Linked DNA regions of Schizosaccharomyces pombe. The protein of the gene in region 2 interacts with the protein of the main gene of each other region in a pairwise test. Each region holds a gene or a part of one and is shown on either strand. Other genes may lie near its edges. The genes, in order: uaf2 and ppr5.

Region 1 (5,751 bases), 720 kb from region 2:
ATTAGGTTTTTTTACCCAGCGGTGAAACTTACGATCAAGAGCATCTTGATGACAACCGTGTCTTAGGTTACAACCCTTTGGTTCCTGCCGCTTTGGTTCAACAAGAGATTCCTGTTTCTGAAACTTCTCGCAAAGTCATCACTGACTCCAGAAAGGAGATTCAAGCTATTCTCAACAAACAAGATGACAGAATTATCGTTGTTGTCGGTCCTTGCTCCATTCATGACCCTAAATTGGCCATGGACTATGCTAAGTTGCTGAAGCCCAAAGCTGACGAGCTTCAGGATGCTTTGTGCGTTGTCATGCGTTGTTATTTGGAGAAGCCCCGTACTACTATCGGATGGAAGGGTTTGGTCAACGACCCTAACTTGGATGGTTCTTTTGCTATCAACAAGGGTATTAGGATGGCTCGTCAAATGTATTGCGACGTTACCAATTTTGGCATTCCTTTGGCCAGTGAGATGTTGGACAACATTTCTCCCCAATTCTTCGCCGACTTACTCAGTTTTGGTGCTATCGGTGCTCGTACTACCGAGTCTCAATTACATCGTGAATTGGCTTCTGCCCTTTCCTTCCCTGTTGGTTTCAAGAATGGTACTGATGGTACTGTTGGTGTGGCGATTGATGCCATTGGTGCTACCGCCCATCCTCACACAATGCTAGGAGTTACTAAACAAGGTCTCGCCGCTATTACCATGACCAGGGGCAACAAGGATACCTTCATCATTTTGCGTGGTGGTAAGAAGGGTCCTAACTATGATGCTGAGCACGTTGCCGCCGTTCGCAAAGATCTTGAGAAGGCCAACCTTCCTCCTCGTATCATGATCGATTGCTCTCATGGCAACTCAAGCAAGAATCATTTGAACCAACCAAAGGTCTCCAAGAGCATCGCCGAACAAATCAGAAATGGCGACTCTTCCATTGTTGGTGTTATGATTGAATCTCATATCAATGAAGGTCGTCAAGATGCTCCAATCCGTCCTGGCGTTAAGGATACTCTCAAGTACGGTGTCAGTATCACTGATGCTTGTGTTAGCTGGGAACAAACTGCTCCAATGCTAGACGATCTTGCTGAAGCTGTCCGTGCTCGCCGTCAAAACCAAAAAAGTAATTAAGACATATAAATGTTATATTCAGCAGTTTTAATTTTTTTAATTTTTGAAACTTATTTTTTCGTAACATACAACAACTGAACAATTTTGGCTTAAATACGGGTTCTATTTATTTTTTTTTGTTTTTTTTTTCTTATATCGTACACAGCTTCTACCAATAACACCTTCGTTTTTAAGAATTGCTGTGCAAGTTTTGCGAAATGTTTGATCGTTTCATATGTTTCTAATCGATCTCCTTTAGCTTGTAATCAGCCATAGGCACATTGGACACAAAATTTAAAACGTCTATGAGTACAGTTGTACAAAGATCAAGTTTATTAGTAAACAATAAAAGAATGCAACATCTATTTAAATAACCTAAATCACAACAAACTATAGCCAGAGATTAATCATAATAAACGAAGTAAAACCGTACAAAAGCAAACCAGAATCCAAAACAAATACATTCCATAAGTTGCTATTTAATTTTTGCGTTCAGCAGTTACACTGACCCATCGATTCGTGGAATCACTATTGGGCTCCTTTTTCATTTCTTCTGCTGCATTTAAGGCCAAATACTTTCTTTGTGCTAGTACCAAATCGCGTAAAAGCTGAGGACTTGGTTTTTTGGCATGCATAAAATTACAAAGGCCACCCCGCTGACATTCCGAAGTTTCGTGTTGCCGGCAACATGCCTCGCGAAAATCAGTTACAGGAGATAACTCGGCGTAGACTGGTCTTTGGGAATACCATCGGGAATTTAAATCATCAATAGCATTTTGGGCAGACTCTTCATACTTGAATCTTACATAAACATTTCCGACTAAGTGATCTCCAACATTGTCACAGACGACTAATTGTTCAACTTCACCGTATTTTGAAAACTCACAAAACATGTCCTCGTAGAATGCATCAAATTGTTCTGCAAGTTCACGCTGCGTGAACTTTTTGCCATTTGGTTCATGAATTGGGTTTTTATACATGTTGGGACATAAGATCGTTTGACTAAAATTTGGTTTGACATGTTTACGAGAGCAGCGTTCCCCATGTCTACAAGCTCCTATTTTATAATAGAATGAGCAATTGACTTTATCTTGCTCAGTACCATAAATACTTGCCAAATGACTTGCCATTTTTATATGGTGGTTATGAAATAAAGTGATCCAACATGATTCTAGTCTTATAATGGTGGCGTGCAACATCTCGTTAAGTTACGCAAATTTTCTAAATTATTCTTGCACACTATTGTCAGCAGTACTACACTACGCTATGATACACTACGTTGCGTATCACTATATGTCACATGTTCTAATTATATATCGTACCATGTATGATACGATATGGAGATTGATCTTAATGATAATCTATTAAGATCTATATTATCTGAATACTATAAATAGAGCTACTGCTGAACCTCGTTCCTCAGTTCAGTTATGAGCTATATTAGTGATAGGTAACATTATAACCCAGTTAATACAATACCTATACTCAGTTGCTACTTATATAACCTGTGTATTGTAATATAATAGATCACAAGGAAAACTCACCACAGTTCTACGTATCCTTAAATCAGATACCAAACTGCGTAGCTTACAACTATCCGATATACAGATATTCCCTTGTATTTCCCTAATTATATTCGAATTTGGAAAATATCAAGAATAAGTAGTTACTGTTATTAGACTGATGTGCCAACGATTCAAAAGAAAAAAAGATAAATTATTCTTAACACAGCACATTCCTTTTTTTTGCTCAGGAAATTTACTCGAGAACAAATTGTTTCCAAATGTCACGATGCCTGAGATGTACGCAAATGAACAACATCGGTAGTTTTACAATATTTAAAACAATCTATAGAGAATTTCTTTAAAAAGGACGGAAAATTTTTTCGAATGCAAAATTAATATGGAGTTGAGTATAATACGTAAGTTAGGGATTCAGTCATGCAGAGATAGTACTGTTCCAAACGCAATTAAGCTATTCCATTTTTCTGAAACGAATAAAACGCGGCTTAAGGTGTTAATGTAGCTTTCTTTTACGAGAGGGAAAGCATTCTCTAATTCAATTTTCACAAGTGAGGTTCGATTTCTTTCAAGATCGTTTCCGATTGCGTTAGGAGCTTTTTCTTGACTGTCTGTAAAGCAATACAGTTTGGTAAGGACTGCGTGACAGCCGAATAGGGCTATTACATGCATCGACTTTCCTTTTTCAAGAGAACCGTGAAACCAAGTTGCATTAACGTAAGCAGTTTTCGAAGAAGTAAAGGCATCGATACTATCAGCAATTAAAATCCCAGGACTATTTATTAGAAATACAAGAATTGCAAAGAACTTACCATAAATTGGGTAATGTAGGGATTTTGGCTTGAATCATATCCCCAGCAACATTAAACCCTTTGGGATTTTCATCACTGCTCAGTCCTTTTTTGATTAACATAAAATAATTGAACACCTTCCGTACCTGTGATTTGTGTTTCTAATCTCCCTGTGCCTACATAAAGCTTTTGCGAATCCTGAAGCATGCCTGAATGGATGCTACAGTAAATATGTGATTGATTTTCTGGCAAAGGAGTAATGTGTGAAATTGTTAAAGAGAGAGGTAGATTAAGAAGAAAATTCCATGTGCCATGATTTGTATCTGCTTCTTTATCAATTTTGCCAAGCAATGTATCAGATTTATACCACTGGGATAATTTTTCTTGACTAATGGATGTAAGATTGGTTCCTTTTAGTCCGCTTATCGGAATGAATTTTGATTTCTCAATTATTCCGCAACTTTCTTTCAGAAAGCTCTGAATCGAGTTAACAAGATTAATGAATTTATTTTCATCCCACTCAATTTCATCCATCTTAGTGATAGCAAACATATAGCTTGAAATAGATAAGCCATTCATCAATTGTAAAATGGAAGATATTCCATCAAGACCTTCCAAAGGATTCAGACAATCAATGGTGAAAATGGCTGTGTTCATTACTTGAAACAAACTTGAATGTTTTAGAAAATTATCTCGAGAACTTGCATTAGTAGTGAAGATTCCTAAAGGAAAATCAATAATAGTTGAGGAGTAACTGTTGGAAAATGTTTCAAAATCATACCATTTCGTTTTGGTGGACTTTAGCACTGAGCTCAAACTTTCTTTTTTGGCATTCAGTACTGTACATTTTTGCATGGTTTTGGGATCAAATGATCCAATTTGAAAAAATAATCTAGAAAGGAGTGTTTTTTTACCAGACTTGGGCGGGCCCAACAACAAGAGTTTCGTTCGAGGCTTTACTAATTTGGAAAGTTCAATTAACTGATCTTGGGAAAGTAAGGTGTGATCATTATTTGAATCATTAGTATTTTTTTGAGGTTTCAATTGTTGAGAAACTTTCTTCATTGACTTTACAGAGTTTAGCAATTGCTCGTCCAAACGTTTGTGTTTTTGGAAACCTGTTTAACAATTAGCGCGAAAAAAAAAGGAAAAGATGAATTGAAGGAGACAAAGCATACTTTTAGATTTAGATTGAGCCATCAAAACTATGTCGTCAGGGCTAGGGGCGTTAAATCCTAAAAGTGAACTTTTGCTTAGATGAATCTCAATTTGGTCCTCAAAAACGCGCTTCTTTGCGCCTGTAAGACATTTCGCAAATGAGGAAGGAGGAGCTAATTTTACCTCTTGGGGGTTCTTCTTCAGTTGGTCGCTTTCCACCATTTGTTTTTGGAGTGTGGTTTTATCATCATCGTCAGTAAGATGAATTTCATGAGACGATGGTTGTTCAGAGTCTTTCTTCTCTGCAATGCGAACCTTTCGAAACCTTTGCAACAAAAAATCATTTTCAACGTTTTTCTTATGTTTAGCTTGAATAGGCTCTTTTTCCTTTTCCTTTTCGGTTTTAGGCGGCTGCTGTTGAGTGGATGGAAAAGAAGAATGCAATTTTTTCCGTTCAGCGGCGAGTAATGCGAGCTTGGATGTTTTTTGTTTCTCTATGAATGTTAATTTCTAGTTCTCCACTTTTTGTGACTAATTATAATGGCGTACCTGGAACTACAAAGTTAGTGTCGTTAATTGTGTCACGTTCTTGATGGTCATTTGTGCTGGAGGATGGAAAAAAGTTGGGAGAATCAGAACTTGAAGAGGAGTCTTGTTTTAGGATAGAAGAAAGACCGATGGGATGTTCAGACGGAGGTTTTTGTTTTGCTTTTTTGGAGTTTAACAACTGAGACAACCTAGACATATTTCTAAATGAAAATGATGGATCGAGACAAAAAAATTACTCATTAAATAAGTCTATAATAATATACAAAATGCAAATCAATTGCTCAAAAGCTCATTAGCATGTATGCGTAAAATGTTAAATTGGAAGGTGGATGACGAGAAGTTAGGATGGATTAAGCGAATCAGATATACTGTATATAGTCAGATGGAAAATTGGGTGGTATGATAGACATACTCGAATGAGAAAGGTTTTGGTATGTATACAAGTAAGCAAACAGATTCAAGTTGATGATTAGTGGACTGAAACAAGCGAAAAGAAAAAGGCAAACAAGAAGTATATAAGTGAAGGAGTTGTGGAAAGGAATACCATAACAATGAACGAAAAGAAGTGAAACGGAGAGATAAAATACAAAGATGAATGAAATTTAAAAAAAAAAAAAAATAATAATAATAAAGGAGTAA
Region 2 (9,490 bases):
GGGTCTTTTCCCATAAGTGCATCTCTGTGCAAACTTGATTTTTCATATTGATAGCGAGAAGGTGCAAAAATTAGCTTTTCGTGGGTGGAATCAGTATTTTCAGACATCGTGGTAAACGGGATTGGAAAAGATACTTTTCCTCGTTTCAGGCAGTAACTGAATTTATATGAGATATCTGTTTTGATATATATATAACGCGATGAAACGACTCAGTATCACGCACTAAAGAAAATGCTAGCAAAAGACGTGTCATACGGTACAGCATGCTAGAGCTGGTTAATTTTAACACAAATCGATCAAATTCTATGTCTTTTTAAATTGCCATGAACGATACCAAGAGTTACTGTCATGATACCAAAGTTTCAAGCATTCTTAAGCTTATCCCTGAAATTGTAACTGATGTCAATTGGGCACTTATTAAAACAGTGCTTCTACAGTAGCGGGAATGTTTAAAAGTATTATGTAAACTGAAGTTTTTTAACAACTATATGCCATGGTAACAACATTGTTCTCAACTTAGATCATCTAGTAATGTGTGGAACCAAATTTTATTACTTAGCGGTAGTCATAACCATTTCAGCAATGTTTGTACAGGAATGGTCCAGTGGTTAAAAGTAAAATTGAATACGCGATAAGTAAATTCTAGACATTTTAATGCATAAAATTCTAAGTTCTATATTAATCTATAAAAATATTTTACATAGCATCAAAAAAGATGCTTAAAATTATTTCAAGGAACGAAATAAAGATACATGCCAATAATCAAATATAATATATAAGAATAGCCCAAATCTCATCCAATTAGCACACAAATTTCAGTCTAATTGATAGAACTATTAATTGAGTGTTGGGTACTAGCATTTCCTAAAGAAGCAAGAGAAGAGTGACTAGTATTCAAAGAACGACGTTTAGGTTTCTGACCCATATGGCTATTTACCAAGGAAGAAATACGATTAACAACCGGTAGCGGGTAACGCTTGCGTTTCAATTGTTCCACAATTTCCATTGCCTTTCGACCGTCATTTACACTTAGGTAGGCACGAACCATATTTTCATAGGTGCTAGGTTCCTTACCAGACATACCCTCGCATTCTAAAAGGTCGAAGTAATAACGTGCTTTGCTAATCATGCCAACCTTAGTAAATCCCTTTATAAGGGCATTTACAATGTATGCATTTAACGAGACATTGTAACGCTTCATATCAGAAACAATTTGAATGCCTTCAACAATGCGGTCATTTGCAATAAGAGATTCAATTTGGGATTGGAATAAGTTCGCATCTAGTTGAATTTCCCCGGCATCATGTTTGGCAAGAGCATTCATGTAGCAACTCGTGGCTGCCTGAACATCCGAAACAACGTTTCCTAAAATATGAATATATGCAGCATAATGCATAGATAAAATTGGCACATCTGTACGCTCCATAAGTTCAAGAACTGCCTTTACGGAACCTACATTGACAGGCTTCAATGTACCATAAGCATCCATCAATAACTTATAAGTATGAGAAGAAGGCTCTATGTCGGTAGCACATAGCCTATTGTAGTAAAATAGCGCTTTTTCACGATTAAACATTGTCTGGACCTCAAATTGTATCATAGTGTTGTATGGAGCAACGCGAGGTTGATAGTTAGGCTGATTTTCCATTTCAGCAAATAGCTTCTCAGCAAGACTCTCGTCACCAATGCGACAAGCAGCATTAATTACGGTACCATAAGTAACGCTGGTAGGAAGTAACCCCGATTCCTTCATTTCTTGAAACAATTTCCAGCACTCTGTTGTGCGGCGAGCTCGACCTAATTTAGAAAGCACTGCATTATATAGAAAAACAGAAGGTTTCACATTATGGCGTTTGGTCTCCTCAAAAATATTCAAAGCGGTAGTGGCATCATCAGTATCTCCTCTCCTTGTTGAGTTGTTAATCAAATGTGCGAAAGTTGAAGCACGAGGAATATATCCAAGCATTTTCATATTGTCACAAAAAAGATTTGAAGATTTGAACTGACGAGCAAAGGAAGACGATAAGATCATGGCGTCTAAAATCAACGCCATAAACCAGTTCGCTTTTTCAAGAGACTTCGTACTGATTTTCCTATAGAGGTGCTTGGAATGCTCAAAAACACGTTGCACAGCATCAAAACGTTTATTTTTGCTTAAAACAGATATTAACGTAGGATAAACTTCAGGATGCAAAAATTTATTGGTTTCAATAAGCTTACCGAACTGGAAAAACAATATATTAACGTCCACCTGCTCAGGTGATGCACTTGTTAACATTTTGGAAACAAGTGAATTTATACTTTGATCGATGCATTCCAGGTCGTCAAGGCAATAACAAACTTGCGATATATCCGCTAAAATTTTCTGTCCATTGTTATCAGTAGAGAATCCGACGACTGCTTCAGAGACGATGTCATCTCGAACGGATGCAACCAGCATTTCGTCTTCTTTCAGGTATGTGAAAGAACGTAAAACAACATGAACGTTTTTGAAAGATGCTTTATACGTTCCATTGGAGTAACATTTTAACAAATCAGTGAGGATAACCTTAGAAGTGAAAGTACCTTCGGTTTGCACGACATTGAATGCTGCATATTCCAGCAAAAAGCCAAATACTCTAGGAGAAATGAGCTCCGGTTCTAAGCGACGGCTAACTAAGTAACCCGTTATATGTCGTAACAACGGAGTAGTAAAATCAACTTGAGGGAAGTTTACTTGGTTCTCTAACGTTGAAACCAACGATAAAAGAACATGCACATCTTTTTGTAACTCCTCCGTCAACACTTCCCAAAATCCATTAAGGATTGATAATTGAAGAGCAACACTATTAGAAGATGGTGCAGTATTGTTACCAAGGGAAACTTTTGGATCAATGTGTTTACGAAGTAGACGAAGTGCAACATCAATCTTTCCGTTCTCAATGAAAGCTTTGTAAACGTTCGAAAACGTAAAGTTAGTGTGAGAAGACACAGAACAAATAACGGGATATGCATGTAAATGAAGTAGATCGACATTCCCTGATCTGGCAAGCAAGTCCAGATAACGGAGAAGCACTGCATGACAGTCGCTAAATCGAGATAATGTATATTTTCTCACAAAAGCAATAGCAAACTTGTCGTTGTTGTTCAAACAAGCCGCCTCCAATATGGACGATAATGTAGACGGACTCGCTTTGTAAGTGCTAATCTTTTCTATAGCCATACCAAGCCATTCAGCAGATTCCTTATAATGTCCTAATTGAGCCAATCTACGTAAAAAGCAGTCTAATATTGAAGACGGTATAACTTGATTGCTATCAGCCTTTCGGAAAAAAGATTTCATCAATGCACTTGCTTCAACATGGTGATCTGTGTCAAAATAAGCTTCCATTAAACCTTCCCAAGAACGCACATTAGTCATCGAAGTGTCACTAGTTGGATCAGATAAGTTATAACGCTCTAAAAGTTGAAAACAACTGTTGAGCCTTTTAGCTCTACCGAGAGCTCTAATTAGAGCTGGGAGTAAATCAGGATGGCCGTTAGCTTCAATAGTGCCAAGAGGAACGCACTCTAATAAGGAATCCAATTGGCTTTGCGTTCCATACAAAGAAACACTCTCAATTAAAATAGCATAAAATTGAGGAGAGTATATGAGATCGTGATTAATGAGGCTAGAAGTAAACATGAAAACAGCAGTTTGCAAAGGCATCTCGGATTGCAGATCGAGCAATTCAGGCTGTATTTCTTTTGCAATACTCGGATGTGCGTAAATAGTGCGCTTAGAGAGTGATTCAATTTTTTGATGCACGAATTTAGCGCGACGACAAAGAGCGAAAATGACGGTTTCAAATGTAGTTACGTTTGGAGAGATAAACGAATTAAGCATATCGACATAAACCTTGATAATTTTTTGAATGTTTTTTGATGACGACAAAAAATAGTCGTCCGTACTCATGCATTGCAAAACAATATTGTACGCTTCCAAAGTCAATAGTTCAGGAGAGTTTCGAACAAGCTTATACAGATCAAAAGTATGAATGGATAATTTACTACTAGCAAGTCTTTTCAAAAATTGAATAAACTCATTGGCAGAAGTGAAAGAATTCAGAGAAATTGAAGCAAAAGAAGATTCCAAAGAATTAGGAGTTAAAGTATCCAGTAAAGGGTCCGAAACTTCGGACTGGGTTTCAGTTGAGAGGGGAGATGTTGCGAGAGAGTTAAATTGTTGTTCATCATCTACATCACCGCATGTCGAGTCACATAGTGACGAGAGAGAAGCAGGTAAAAGAGAAGCAGAAAAATGTGAGCTGTTAGGGTTGAGATTGTCAACAAAGCGATGAAGGGACTTGCCTGGAGGAGATTGCTTACGCTCAGAAAGAGAAGGATCGAAGTAACCAAGCTGAATACTACGGTCATGGAAGATAATGTCATCCTCAGTTAAGAAAAGACGCTCATCCAATGAACCAGGTGCTTTCGTGTTAGAGAGAGAGAGGTTCGTTTGGGCTTGTTGTTGTTGAATCCAATTCGTCATATTTCCAAGCTTCAAAGGAGGACGATGAACGGCAACATTTTTGCCAAGTGTTTGTCTGGCAATATTTTGCAAAAACCAAGCTTTCGTGTAAACCATATTGAAACTAATATTAAGCGTAAATGGGATAATAGTCTAGAAAATAAACAAAAACGGATATAAACAATCTAAAAAAAAATTAGACCAAAAAGAGACACAATAAATAGAAAAAACGTAAAACAAATGAAATGAATAATAAAAAGAATAGTAAACACCCAAAGAACACAAGAAATGAATAAAAAAGAGAGAAAAACGGAAACGATATGTATAGCTAAACGGTATAGCCGACCACCAACCAGAATATCCACTAACTCAGGGAAAGAAGACTAGCAGGACAGACTATAAAATAGTACAGCAAAGGTTAAATGAAATGGTCACTGAGATTTGAAATATAGAATAAATCAAGTGAATGTGTTATGTACGCCTGGTAATGACGAGCCTATCACCGTTATCAGATGAACTGCGTTATAGACCAGAATAAGAGTGAAATATACACAAAGCAAACAAAGGAGTGCTAGTTGGAGGGTACGTAAAGATTCAAGGATTGAAAAATAAAAAGATAGAGCAATCCTAGCACTCGCAATTGAATTATCAAAGACAAATAAAAATTCCAATAAAGTCAAATGAAGAAAGCGATTCGAATACTTTGCTTATAAAGTAGAATTTTTACAATGTTTTCAAAGTACGATCGTCTTAATGGCAAGTGGAGAAGAGTATATATGACGATTTAAATCTGATCAAGCGTCAGCAGTGGCGAAATGAAACAAGACGCCGATATGAAAATTACAAGAGGAGGGTAATTTAGTTATATCAAATTGAAGCAGGGGAGTGGAATAAATGAATGAAGAAATAGATGGGAAAAAACAATAAACCTGACGAAATCTAATACACCGTGCCAAACAAAAGAGGATTGGGTAGAAAACCTAGGTACGTTAAACCGAATAACAAAAAAAAGGGAGAGAAAATGATAGAATAATTAAATGCTTAGTTCATCTAAAATGCGGAAAAAGAAAAGCGATTTGAGCTTCAAGAATTTGTTGAATGAATAACAGATATGTCTGTAGCTAATGAATCCTCAGAAAAGGGCAAGGAAGTAGATCTATAAGGGAAGTGTGTGCTTGATTAATTAAAACACCAAGCACAAGTTTCGTGTGTTTAAGCTTCCAACAGGGAAAGATGAGGATGGCGACGCAAAAAAAAAAGCGGAAATTTTTCACAATCAACAAAATTATTTCGTTTTGTTGAAAAACGAGCTGTTACAGGGCAATAAGTGTGAAAATAATCTATTTCAACAATTGTCTAGTACGTAGTAACAGAGTATTCAGTATGGCTTTCGACAAGTTCAAGTTTAAAATTGAACGAGTGATATTTGTAGTTGGTTGGTCGTAGCAATTTTGTGAGACAATGAAGTCAAAGTCACGTTACCCCGAATAAGAAGTCTTAAAGATAAGGAGCTGCTAAATATGTGGTAAAAGATATTCTGCACCCGTTGATAATTCGACGAATTTAGCGAATGTTAGTTTGTCAGGATGTCAGGTATGTATATATATGGAAACCAATATTTTAGCGTGGACCAAACGAGCCTCGTCGGTGAAAAAAGAAGATAAAAAAAATTGTGGATCGATTTTTTTGAGACAAGTTTATCGTCCCAACGCAAATTCGAAGGCGGACGATATTGAGATAGATTTGAGAAGCGGAACTAGCGCCAGTTTTGCCGCAGCTAGTAAAAGGGGACAGGTTAGGAACACATTTTATCGGGTAAGGAGATTTTCCAACAACTCCTAAGTTGGGACTAAGCAAAATTCAGGAAGGGTGGGAAATTACAAAAATAGCACGCAAGAGATGAGAAGTAAGAGTCTATTGTGCTAGCTGAAAAATCCCGTAGGCAGACAAACCTACGAATCGCATACAGGTGCAGAAATAAATAAATACATGGCGAATTTCATTATTAGAGAAATACGTGAATCCTAAACTTTAAACTATACTTCGCGCCTAAGAAAACATTTTTAGACAAAACAAAATTCATTGACCTTAAAACGGGTACTTTTAAAATAAGTGCACTAAAGAATAATCAAGCTCCTCTGCGCACAGTATCTCAACCTTATTAGAAAGAAAACTTGCGGAATTACTCATTAAATAACCAGATCATTTAGAATCACGAAGTATGGAGGGAAAACAAATGGCATTGGTATGATTTTAAATACACAAGCCTCCATTACTGTCTGAGCCTCACTCTCTGGAAGCCCTCCAATCGAAACGTTACTTTATGGAAAGAAAGGCATTATAAAATGTATCGATGGGGTATGCTGTGAGTTGTAAATGATCATTGCTGACATATATCATGTTGATCTGATAAAAAGTCATATGTTACAATGGTAGAAACTCGAACGAGTGCTCGGTATATTGAATATACAGCACTACTTTGATATTCTCGGTATAGATCGGCAATTTGCAATATAACAATTTATAAATGGTAGGTCACTGTAGTTCAATATTTCAAGAGTATCTAGGTTGCCATAAAGGTTAGCGTGGTATTGAGAAAAGGATGAATATTATCAAGAATTGACTCCGTAGATCAGTCTTTATCTATTATATTTCTTAATTGTTCACTGCTTCCCAGTCATGATTCACAGATCGACAATTGACTTAGTGTCGGCCCACTAGTATTGTAGCCAGCTTTAAAGAATGTCTTGTTGGTCTATACTAACAACCATAACACTTAGAACAATAAACTAAATCGCAATCTTAACAATTAAGTACAAGCGCTAATCCGAGCAAGGTAGCGCATTCGAACCTTTAACGAATCTGTAATACAACAGAATTCGTGACCTTTATTTTTTTAAAATATCTAACAACAACCTGTGATTGTCGTAAATGCTTTTCTAATTATTAGTTCATGATAAACAGATTTGTAATTCTTTAGTTATAGCACCTTAGAGTTCTGTGCTGTAGTATAAAAATTATTGTAGTGTGGAAAAATTGATTAAAACATATGTGAAAAGCAAAGCTTTTTCCAAAAAAAAAAAAAAAAAAAAAAAAAAAGAAAATAAATTAATAAATAAATAAACTATTACAATGAACATACTAGACTGCAGTAAAACCCTTTCCATCTAAATATTTTAAATATGCAGTATTCGAATTTTTCTTTTACTTAAATAACCAAAAATAAAAATAATTCATACGTATTACAACATAAAACAAGCAACAATGTTTGTGATTTAATTATATACGCATCGCCTTCTTCATTTAAAATACGTATGTGACGGTTCCCTTGTTTGGTTATGCACATCTATTTGTTTACTTTTTAAATATTGGAATAATGCTGCTAATGTAAAGCCTGCGACCTTCATTAACTGTTAATCATTAAAGAATAGGGTAAAAAAATCATCAAGAAACAAAATAGTCGGTGATAAAGCAAAAAAATTGCATTATGTAGTTTTGTTCCGATATCTTGTTTTTTACATTTTTAAACGGTACTTCAAAAATACAATGCAACCACCGAAGACTTCAAATAATTTAGCTTCTGATAAATAATTTTAGAAATTTATTATAGTAATAATTTAATCTACAAATTTCGCAATCAAATATTAGTTTGGATATATGAAATCGCTAATTTTTGGATATTAGGTTATTCAGGTTATACACGTTAAACAGCAATTTAACACTTGCATGCAGTGTCCAATTTTAAATTAGCTTTCATACAAAAATTGGCTGCTATAAATTATGCCTGCAAGATAGTGTGATATTATAGAATTTTCTTCATTCTAATATTCTTTTGTAATGTTACTGAAAGAATTTGAATAACATTAAACTTCTATATTTTTTCTGAAAGTATGCAGGTGACAGTAAACATAGCTTCTAAAAAAACAAAGAACCCTTTTAAATTTAAGGAAAATGCTCAGTTGTAGAAAAGAAAGCATGCATGTCTTAAATTGTATTTTTTTTGACAACATTCAATAACAAATATAAAAATAAATTTGAAAATTTTGTTTATGCTTGCTTCTTTTTCGCTTTGATATCTTGCATCCACAATCCGAGTACGTTAATATTTCTCGATTGTTTGCCAAGTGATCTATTATTCAAAATTATTTATTTTTCTGTTGAATTTCCTACTGAATAAGCTTATATCGTTCTAATGGTGTACTCGAAGATATTGCATAAATACCATCTCCAAATTGATTGTTATTATTATTATCTTTCTTTTAATAAAATACTTCTACGTTTTTTGAACCATCTTACTTTGCTTTTTGTATCTAGAATTGAGGAGCAGACGCGATTTACTTAATGTATGATCGCATTGAGTCGAACGTGTTGTTAGTTGTCAACACTTACTTTATTTTCATAACCTCACATCCAGTTTGCTTCGTCAAGCCATAAAGTAGCGAATAGCAATATTAAATTGATTTGAATGTTTAGAAATTTAACTTAAATTTTTTATTTCATTCAAACATCGTCGTCATTTTCCAGATAATGAAATATTGGCAGGCAATTCTATTTTTCCTATTTGGAATCGCTTTCGCGAACAATCTTAATATTCCTTGGAAGGTAAAACAAAATTTTTTTTAGGCTTATTTCAACCATAACTCGAATAGTCTTAGTAAGCCTGTGAACATGGATTTTATTCGACTTAAGAATATAAATCTACCTTACTGAGATTCTTTCGGAGAAATGGTGACAAATTCAAGTGTTTCTAATCTAACAATTATTTAGGCATGTCCTAATTACAAGACATACTCTGGAAGGAGACATTATCCAGCTACTGGCCCTTTGAGGTTACCGTTTCAACGACCAGCAACATCATGCCGTACGTTTCATTCTAAATCGGTGGAGCAGACTATTGAAGATGTGAAGGAGCAACTTGAGGATGAAGATTTAGCACGTTTATTTGAAAATTGTATGCCAAATACTCTTGATACTACAATTCGTTGGCATGCCGCTGATTCA

The links.
Region 1: the proteins of ppr5 (region 2) and uaf2 interact in a two-hybrid assay, tested with the Schizosaccharomyces pombe proteins (one large-scale study listed by BioGRID).

What each region holds. Positions count from the first base shown.
Region 1 is NC_003424.3:5,322,084-5,327,834, reverse strand, and holds uaf2 (U2 auxiliary factor small subunit Uaf2), read right to left. Parts: upstream 2,242-5,751; 5' UTR 2,225-2,241; coding exon 1,574-2,224; 3' UTR 1,400-1,573; downstream 1-1,399. Other genes in the region: SPOM_SPAP8A3.07C (phospho-2-dehydro-3-deoxyheptonate aldolase), read left to right, coding at 6-1,115; ski7 (ski complex-interacting GTPase), read right to left, coding at 3,029-3,389, 3,427-3,511, 3,552-4,523, 4,584-5,057, 5,113-5,308.
Region 2 is NC_003424.3:4,602,748-4,612,237, reverse strand, and holds ppr5 (PPR repeat-containing protein Ppr5), read right to left. Parts: upstream 5,421-9,490; 5' UTR 4,607-5,420; coding exon 821-4,606; 3' UTR 501-820; downstream 1-500. Other genes in the region: pdx3 (pyridoxamine 5'-phosphate oxidase), read right to left, coding at 1-107; SPOM_SPAC1093.07 (uncharacterized protein), read left to right, coding at 6,095-6,331; protein mug157, read left to right, coding at 9,017-9,091, 9,257-9,490. UniProt on the Schizosaccharomyces pombe protein: Mitochondrial RNA-binding protein that acts as a general negative regulator of mitochondrial translation.